Linked DNA regions of Rattus norvegicus. The protein of the gene in region 1 binds, or shares a complex with, the protein of each later gene. Links are inferred from orthologs where the notes say so. Each region holds a gene or a part of one and is shown in the gene's direction. Other genes may lie near its edges.

What was found.
Region 2: Pigp (region 1) and Pigy share a complex: the UniProt entries of both Homo sapiens proteins name them as parts of the glycosylphosphatidylinositol-N-acetylglucosaminyltransferase (GPI-GnT) complex. The link is inferred for Rattus norvegicus from reciprocal best matches to the Homo sapiens genes PIGP and PIGY.

The regions. Positions count from the first base shown.
Region 1 is NC_086029.1:47,155,927-47,160,461, reverse strand, and holds the start of Pigp (phosphatidylinositol N-acetylglucosaminyltransferase subunit P), read left to right. Parts: upstream 1-1,695; 5' UTR 1,696-1,822; intron 1,823-1,876; exon of another isoform or gene 1,877-2,063; intron 2,064-2,172; exon of another isoform or gene 2,173-2,187; coding exon of another isoform or gene 2,188-2,292; coding exon 2,293-2,374; intron 2,375-4,535. Other genes in the region: E3 ubiquitin-protein ligase TTC3, read right to left, coding at 1,452-1,497. UniProt on the Homo sapiens protein: Part of the glycosylphosphatidylinositol-N-acetylglucosaminyltransferase (GPI-GnT) complex that catalyzes the transfer of N-acetylglucosamine from UDP-N-acetylglucosamine to phosphatidylinositol and participates in the first step of GPI biosynthesis.
Region 2 is NC_086026.1:28,964,851-28,968,581, forward strand, and holds Pigy (phosphatidylinositol N-acetylglucosaminyltransferase subunit Y), read left to right. Parts: upstream 1-1,574; 5' UTR 1,575-1,849; coding exon 1,850-2,065; 3' UTR 2,066-3,026; downstream 3,027-3,731. Other genes in the region: uncharacterized protein Pigyl1, read left to right, coding at 180-389, 625-1,263. UniProt on the Homo sapiens protein: Part of the glycosylphosphatidylinositol-N-acetylglucosaminyltransferase (GPI-GnT) complex that catalyzes the transfer of N-acetylglucosamine from UDP-N-acetylglucosamine to phosphatidylinositol and participates in the first step of GPI biosynthesis.

The DNA.
Region 1 (4,535 bases):
TTTAGTTAAAAATCAATACTATATATTGTTTATATATTCACCATTATCAAGTTGTAAATTATGCACGGAAATGATACACACAAACCTGAACACAGTGGCTATCTCTAGGTAAGGAGGGGGTCAAACTCTCAGCATCTCCAAAATTTTTTTTTGTTTGTTTGTTTTGGAGAATCTGAAGTAAATTTGGCAAAAAAAAAAAAAAGAATAAATAATAAACAAAATGGCCTGGCTGATTAGGTCTACCTGTGTTTAATCTCTTAGGTAGTCCAGAAATTGAAAGAGAAAAAGGGAAAATTAGGCAACAATAAGGAAACTGAGCAAGAGAGAAGGAGAATCCGCAGCCCTTGAGCGCAAAGCACAAACCCTTGACAAGCACAGTAGTGACAACTGAATCCCTAGGGACGTCTTCCCATATAACGAACCCATTTTCCTTAAAGTAAAATACAAAATTCTTGATATAAGTGTTCTAACTAGAGCTGTGGTTGTGAGAAACTGCCCCAGAGAGAGCAGTAAAACCTGTATGATTTCAACCGTTTCCCTGAACCATCCTCATCCCCCGCCGGAATCCAGAGTTGTTTATGGCTGCTATAAAACACCCTGCAATAACCAGTGTTAGCCATCGCCTGGTGACAGGCATAAGCACATACTGTGGAAATAATCTACAAACTGAAGGATGTCTGGAAACTACAAGCTTCTGGAAAAGGCACCGTGCAGGGGTACCAGCACACCCTCGGCTTCATTTTGGTCCTTTGCGCCCCCCACGCCTGTCCCCTCCCCACTATGGGATGGCCGCCCAGGCCTTAATGACGTCGCCAGCACTGCTGAGCAGCAGCCCCTGCGCAGGCGTAGGACAAGGCTGCAGGTGGGTGGGGGCCAGCTCGGCGTCCCTCCCGGGTCCTCCCAGGAACGCGGGGAGGGGGAGGCGTGCACACACACAGAGCAGGGGCCTTACGCGCGCGCTCGCTCGCACAACCCCGCGCATGCCGCAGGCCCCCCGCGCGGCGCACCTTCGGGGACCCGCGAAGACGCGCGCGCGCGCCCGCCACTGCAGACAGCCGCAGCGGCGGGCGCGCGCGCTGAGGCGGAGGCGCGCACACTACAGGGAAGGGAGTGACAAAGGTGATGGGAGGAAAACCACCCTCAGAGGATGGGGACGCCCTCGCCGTCGCAGGGAAGGGCGACCACCGCAGGGAAGGGCGAGCATAGGAACAATGCGGGCGAGCCGCAGACCCCGAGGAGCGTCTCCGAGCGCTCCGGATGAGGCAGCCGACACACGGCTGGGGATGTCACCCGCGCGCCAGGCGATGCGCACCAAAAGCCCCCTCCTACCGTTACGGACGCACGAGGAACACCGGACAAAGGGAACACACCCACTGGGGCAAGGGCGGCCACACCCCCTCGGCGCGCGGGCGCTCGGCGAGACCCGCGGCGACGCGCACACCCACACTCACCACACACCCACGGAGGGAGGTGTGGAGCGCCCCGATGCCCAGGCATCTCGGCTGCGGCGGGATGCGCAGACGCTTCCGGGAGCCCCGCCGCGCGCAGGGTCTGCACTCACCCGGGCCCGCAGCCCGCGAGCCTCGGACGCGGGCTGCCGACGCCTCCGGCCCTCCACGTCAACCAGACCCGCAGAGCGAGCGCTGAGCCGCTCCTGAGGCGGGCGGGTCACGTGGCTTGGAGGCGCGCATGCGCAGTCGCCGCGCCGCCCCCCCCCCAGCTCGGCTGGGTGGGTGGTGAGACCGCGGTAGCCCCCGCTCTGCGGACGCCGTGCGCCTGCGCCAAGCGGCGGGGGCGCCTGGCAGCCCCTGCTTTTCCTCAGGTTTTTTTATTTTTTTCTTTCCGCCCCCAATGCGGGTGTCTGGGCCGCGCCTGCGCAATGGGCTGAGCGCCGAGGGGCTGAGGGTGGGGACGGGTGGGCGTTGGTGCTTGAAGGACTCTAGGTCCAGGGCTTTCGGTTTTCTTTGAACGTCACGTAGGCAGGGAGAGAGCCCTTCGTGAGCGGGCAGGACTCGGGACCTTGGTCCGGCCTGGGGCCCCTTCCTCGTCTCAGAGGGTCCGAGGTGCGCTTTTTCCCCGCAGCGCGCGCTCCCGCCTCCCCATCTGCAGGGGCGCGCGCACGCGAAGGGGCCCTTGTTTGGGGCGGGCGCGTGTGAGCATCCGCAGTGGCTATGTCCGCAGCAAGTGATGAGATTATGTAACAGACCAATGGTGAAGGGAGATGGGGGGGAGGAGGGATGTCTGACGACGACTGTGTTCCTTCTCCACAGATTGTCTAAAGCCACAGGGAAGATGGTGGAAAATTCACCGTCGCCATTGCCAGAAAGAGCGATTTATGGCTTTGTTCTTTTCCTAAGCTCTCAGTTTGGCTTCAGTAAGTACTGGAATGATGGATGGCTAGGGCCTTTAGTGGACCTTTAGTATTCGAGGACCGGGAAATAATGCATTTGTCCATAGAACGTACACATGTGACCTGTTGATTCTTTCTACTTTTAAGGAGTCCTGAAGGGTACCGTTTGTTTGCTCAGTTGATATATCCAGTATCAGGTTAAATCACCCAATATTTAGCACCAGGCTTGATGCTAATGTGAATAAAACCTGGTCCCAACCCTTGAGGTCATCGTCCTGTGGAGAAGAATAGTAAACCCACAGTTCAGAGAGCATGTTGAGTGCCCTGGGAGAGCCTTGGAAGGTTTAGAGACTATGGTTAGCTTCTTCCAGGGCACTCCCTGGTAATTATATCAGAATAAGTCAGGAAGGACCATGAGGAGAGTCCCTGAATGAAAACCAGTGAAGGTTTTTCAAAAAAAAAAAAAAAAAGTGAGGCGTTTATAGCTCCAAGGAAGCAAAACTGGAGCTGAAGAGTGAAGAGAATGGGCCAGAGAGGTCAGGTGTAACAGCATACCCTTAACATTGATCACCATAATGTTCCATTTTATAGATGAGGCCACTGAGGCTTCAAAACAAAACAAAACAAAACAAAAGGTCCCTCAAAAAGTTTGGAAGATATGAGGCAATCAAGTGGTAGAAAACTGAATGCCCACAATCCAACCTTCTGGGACTAGATAGAAATCAGAATGTATATGTGGAAGTGTCGTTCCCAACTCCTAAGTACAAAACCCTAGCTTAACCGTAGTGTAGTGGAATCGGTGGAATGAAGTAGCCACAACTGGGTTCAGTTATGGGCTCTCGTGCAATTATTGTTTGGTCTGAGAGCTTTTTGTTTTGCATGAAGTGAGCCTGTGAAGTAGGTGCTGCCTTGCTTCCTCAGTGTAAAGATGGGAATACTGGATTTCAGTGACTTGATCAAAGCCAAGAAGCAACGGGACTGGAATTAGAACAGGTGCACTGCAGGCTTCGCTGTACTAAGGACCTTCTCTGACTCGTGTATTAACTCGGGTGATTTATGAAAAGAGGCTGCTGAGTAGGTATTAGCTGCCGTTTATTTCTGTAAATTCCTACGCAAAGAGGATTTAAGGATTAGAGACTACAAACATGTTAGATACAACCAAAAACTAATGGAAGACTTTATTGAGCACTTACCATGTACCAGGCAGTGTTACAGGCCAGGGAAAGGCAAAGCAAGCCAAGCCTCGTCGTCTGCTTTCATTGAGCTTTCCACATAGTTGGAGAATACAGGTAAGGAAAACAAATCCAGGAAGCAAAACGGTGGGGAGGGAGGTTAAGGAGCAGGAAGAGCCCTCCCCATGTGCTGTGTGCTGTCTCTTAGTACCACTTACAACAGAGTAGGGGAAAGATCTCTTTTCCCATCGTTGTTCAGCACCAGAAGCATTTGGGAAAGCACAAACCCTCTCTTCAGGAGTGACTGTATCCCAGTCTTGACCTACAAAGCTGTAACACTTCATTCTTAACGGAAAAAAAACCATCACCGTTGATGTAGCTTGAAACCTGTCTTCACTTCCCTTGTACAAATGAGTCCTTTCTCATGTATAAAACAGACGTGTGTGCTTCAGGACTGTTTTGAAGATTAAACGAGTTAGTGCATGTAGAGACATTCAGGACCTATTGTTACTGCACGGAGACAGCAGGAAAGGAGCCCACAATGACAGGGTGTTGACAGAAAGAAGATTGTGTATAGACAGTCAAAACCAGAGAGGACAAGTTCCCCTTTAAGCCACTAAATGCAATTATATCTTCTCTGTGGAGAAATAGTGAACATGTAGAATGCAGAAGCAAACTGTTAGGTGCTGTGAAAAGAAGTTGCTAAGAAATAATATGTCACAGACTTTTTTATTAGTCATTTTATTCATTTACCTTTAAAATGATATCTCCCTGATTACCCCTCCACAATCCCCCCATTCCATTCCCCCTGTACCCCTCCCCTTTACCGCTATGAGGGTGCTTACCCACTCCTGCCTCACCACTCTAGCATCCCCCTTCGCTGGGGCATCAAGTCTCCACAGGACTAAGGGCCTCTCTTCCCATTGGTGCCTAACAAGGCCATCCTCTGCTACATATGCAGCTGGAGCCATGGGTCCCTCCATGTGTACTCTTTGAATGGTGGTTTAGTCCCT
Region 2 (3,731 bases), on another chromosome or scaffold:
CTTTTGGTTCTTTTGTTTCGGAGCTGGGGACCGAACCCAGGGCCTTGCGCTTCCTAGGCAAGCGCTCTACCACGGAGCTAAATCCCCAACCCCAACATTCTCTCTTAAAATTGCATTTTACACTTTTTGCAGGAGTACACGCGGGTGTGCTGCAGTACATGCGTGGAGGTCAGAGGACAATGCGAGAAGAAAATAGGTTCTCCACCGTGGGGGTGGGGGTCCCCGAGGATCGAACTCAGTTACTAAGGCTTGGCAGGAAACGCCCGTACTCGCTGAGCCCTCTCATCGGCCCAAACTACTATTTTGACATTCACCAATTCAAACGTAAAACGACGGATCGGACTCGTTCCCCGCTGCTTCAGAGGCTGGGTGATGGTGGCTGCGACCAAGTTTGATTCAGGCTTCAAGTTTATCAGTTAGAAATGGGGAAAGCTTTTCAGCGCAGAAAGACACCGGTCTGCTCTGGAACGCCGTGAACACACTCTGCGGCAAATACGTTCCTCTCCAAGGTCCAGCAGTCCTGGCACACAGGACGCCCAGCCGGAGGCCGTGGGGTCCGGGGCAGGGAGGTCCTTATCAATCAGGGTCCTCTCAGCACCCCTCTGGCTTCACCCGTCACTCAAGACTACGGGGGCGGAGCCTGAGCGCCGGAGCGAAGGCGTGGTGCGCTGTCCAATGAGCACGCGCGGATCGGCTCCCTCGCGGGATCTGGGTTTCTTACCCCGCCCCCTCAGGGATTTGATTGGGCGGCTGGCCCGGGTGCTCCGCCTTCGTAGAGCGGTGACGGTCACAGCCAGGCGCAGCCGGGACCCGGACATTTACAGGCCAGTGAATGGTGAGTTCAGGGTCTCGAGATCCGATACGGGCGGAGGAGCTGTTGGAACCGGCTGGGACAGGACTCGCGCTAGCAAGGCGTCTGCGCCACGGACGCCTCCGGTTCCGCTTGGCTGGCTGGTTCACTTTCGATTCGGCCGGGTTCTCCTCTGCCCTGTTCGGCTTGGTCCGGTTCTCTCCGGCTTGGCTCGGTTCTCTCCGGCTTGGCTCGGTTCTCTCCGACCCGGCCATCGCTACCCTCGGTCAGCCAGAGACTGCAGCGGGACCCGGGTGCCCCTTCGCGTCCCCGAGGCGACTGGGCCCAGGGCTGGCGCTGTCTTCACTCTGTGCATTGACGACGGGCGGCTCGTGACGAGGCTCCGGGTTCCGGTGCTGGTCCCCAGCCGGTCCTCGTCGTACGGGAAGCCTCCACTCAGGTGTCTGAAGTGAATCTGGATTTGTAGGTCTCATTCCGCTTCCTCGGTTCGAGAAAACACTATCAGTCCACCTGTCCTTCATTCTGCTTTTCGAATTTCTTAGTTCCCAAAGAAATGGATGACACTTGAGTGTTTTGAAGGTTTGTTTTCTAGTCGGGCGTGGTGGCTTGGGAAGACTGATGCAAGAGGATCCCAATGTTTGAGGCCAGACTGCAAGTGACAGCAATCCTCCTGCCTTTAACCTGCTCAGTACTGTACAGGCTGTTTCCCCTTCTTTTCCTTTCCCTTCCCCTCATCTTGTCATCTTGCACTTTTCTCATACAGTAAGGAATCCTTTAGCCAGCGCTGCGAGGGACACGTGTGTTGTCTGCAGTCGCTGGTAACCGCTTCGTGTGGTGGTGGATTGGATCAGAACGAGGCTGAGGAGCCGTCACCCTCAGCCTGGGACCGCTGAAGTTTTTGTGTGCTCTTGGGAAGCATGCCTGGATGAAAGAGGAGTCCAGAGAAAGGGAAGATAAGACAGGAGTGCACCAGCACAAGAACATAACTTTGAAAACAACCGAGTTTTCTTGAACTGTATACCTTCAGAAGGGAGGAGGATGATCCTGTCTCTGCCCACCCTGACTGTCCTCATCCCGCTCATCTCCCTGGCGGGCCTGTTCTACTCCGCCTCTGTGGAAGAAAACTTCCCAGAGGGCTGTACCAGCGCCAGCAGCCTGTGCTTCTACAGTTTGCTTCTGCCGGTCACCGTACCGGTGTACGTGTTCTTCCACCTGTGGACTTGGATGGGCCTGAAGCTCTTCAGACATAACTAGGGTAGCTGAGGCCCCGCTTGTGCACGGGGCAAGAGGCTCCTGGTTGTTGGGTTCTGCCCTCAGGTGTTGCAGATTCTCCTGTTAGTGCTGTAGCTGAAAAACACTTACAATAAATATGTCCCAAGGGAGAGGAACATGACCGGTCTTCATCCGAAGACTGTTTTTTCTAAGATTTATTCTTAATTATGTGGATATGAGTGTGGGTCCCCAAAGAGGCCACACGAGGGTTGGAGGTACGAGCAACTGTAAGACTGCCGGAGCTTTACTCAGATCCTCTGCAAGGGCAAGCAAGTTCATGTCCTTAACCCCTGAGCATCTCTCCACCTGCCTGTTTCCTCCCTTCCCTTAGTTCTGGCTAACCTCAAACTGTGAGAGGCAGACCTTGACCTCCTTACCTTCCTGTCTCTACCTCCTGAGTGCTGAAGTTATAGGCAAGCATTGCCGCATGTGTTTATGTGGTCTGGCAGAACCCAGGTCGTGAACGCTAAGTCGGCACTCTGCCAGCCAACCACCCTGAGGACTGTGTTGTTGTTGTTGTTGTTTTGAGTCCATTCATTTAAAAGTCCGTCATTTGGAAGCCGAGCAGTGGTGGCACTCACCTTTACTCCCAGCACTCGGGAGACAGAGGTGGATCTCTTGAGTTTGGGCCAGCACAACGAGACTGTAAAAATAATAATTTGGGATTTTGTTTCAGCTTCAAGGTCAGTGGTGAGGTGTTGGATCTGCTGAGACAAGGGTTTCAGATGGTTGGGAACTACTGTGTGGGTGCTGAAGAAAATCCAGTGCTCAGGGATGACTCCTTTGAGGAGCTGAGTGGTCCGTAGGTTGGTGGCTCACAACTGCCTGTATTTCCAGTTCCAGAGGCTCTGACTCCCTCTGCTGGACTCTGGGTACCTGCACACCTGTGACATGTCTATTCATTCACACACATTAATAAATTTATTTTTAAGAGGGAAAAAAATCTGACTATAAACTTACCTTCATTGTTTTTTCTTTTACATTTATTTTTTTTCTTTTCTTTTTTTTCAGAGCTGGGGACCGAACCCAGGGCCTTGCACTTGCTAGGCAAGCGCTCTACCACTGAGCTAAATCCCCAACCCCTCTTTTACATTTATTTATATGAGTACACTCTAGCTGTCTTCAGACACACCAGAAGAGGGCATTGGGTCCCATTACAGATGGTTGTGAGCCACCATGTGGTTGCTGGGAATTGAACTCAGGACCTCTGGAAGAGCAGCCAGTGCTCTTAACCACTGAGCCATCTCTCCAGCCCCTACCATCATTTTTTCAGTGTCAGGTGAGCAAGGTCAGTGTTGGTGTTTTCTGGTTCTTGGATTCTTATTCAAGGAATAAAGGCCCATATACAGATTTTCAAAGTTGCAAGGAAATTTCACTCAAAGCAGAGCTAGATCAGGCATGCAGATACATGAGCCTATGGGGGCTCTTCTTACTCAACCACGACACCTGTTCTCCCAGCCTAAATTCCTCTGACTCCTTATGACTCCCTGTACCTCTAAGTTCAGAGGCTCTGCCTCCAAAAGCACTGTACTCAGGTTTTTAACACACACCCCTAAAAATAAACACAAAGTTTTCAAAAAAGAGAACATGTTTTCTTTGGCTGAAAGCCGTCCATCCTTGCTTGAAGGTAAGCCAGAGATGGGTGTGA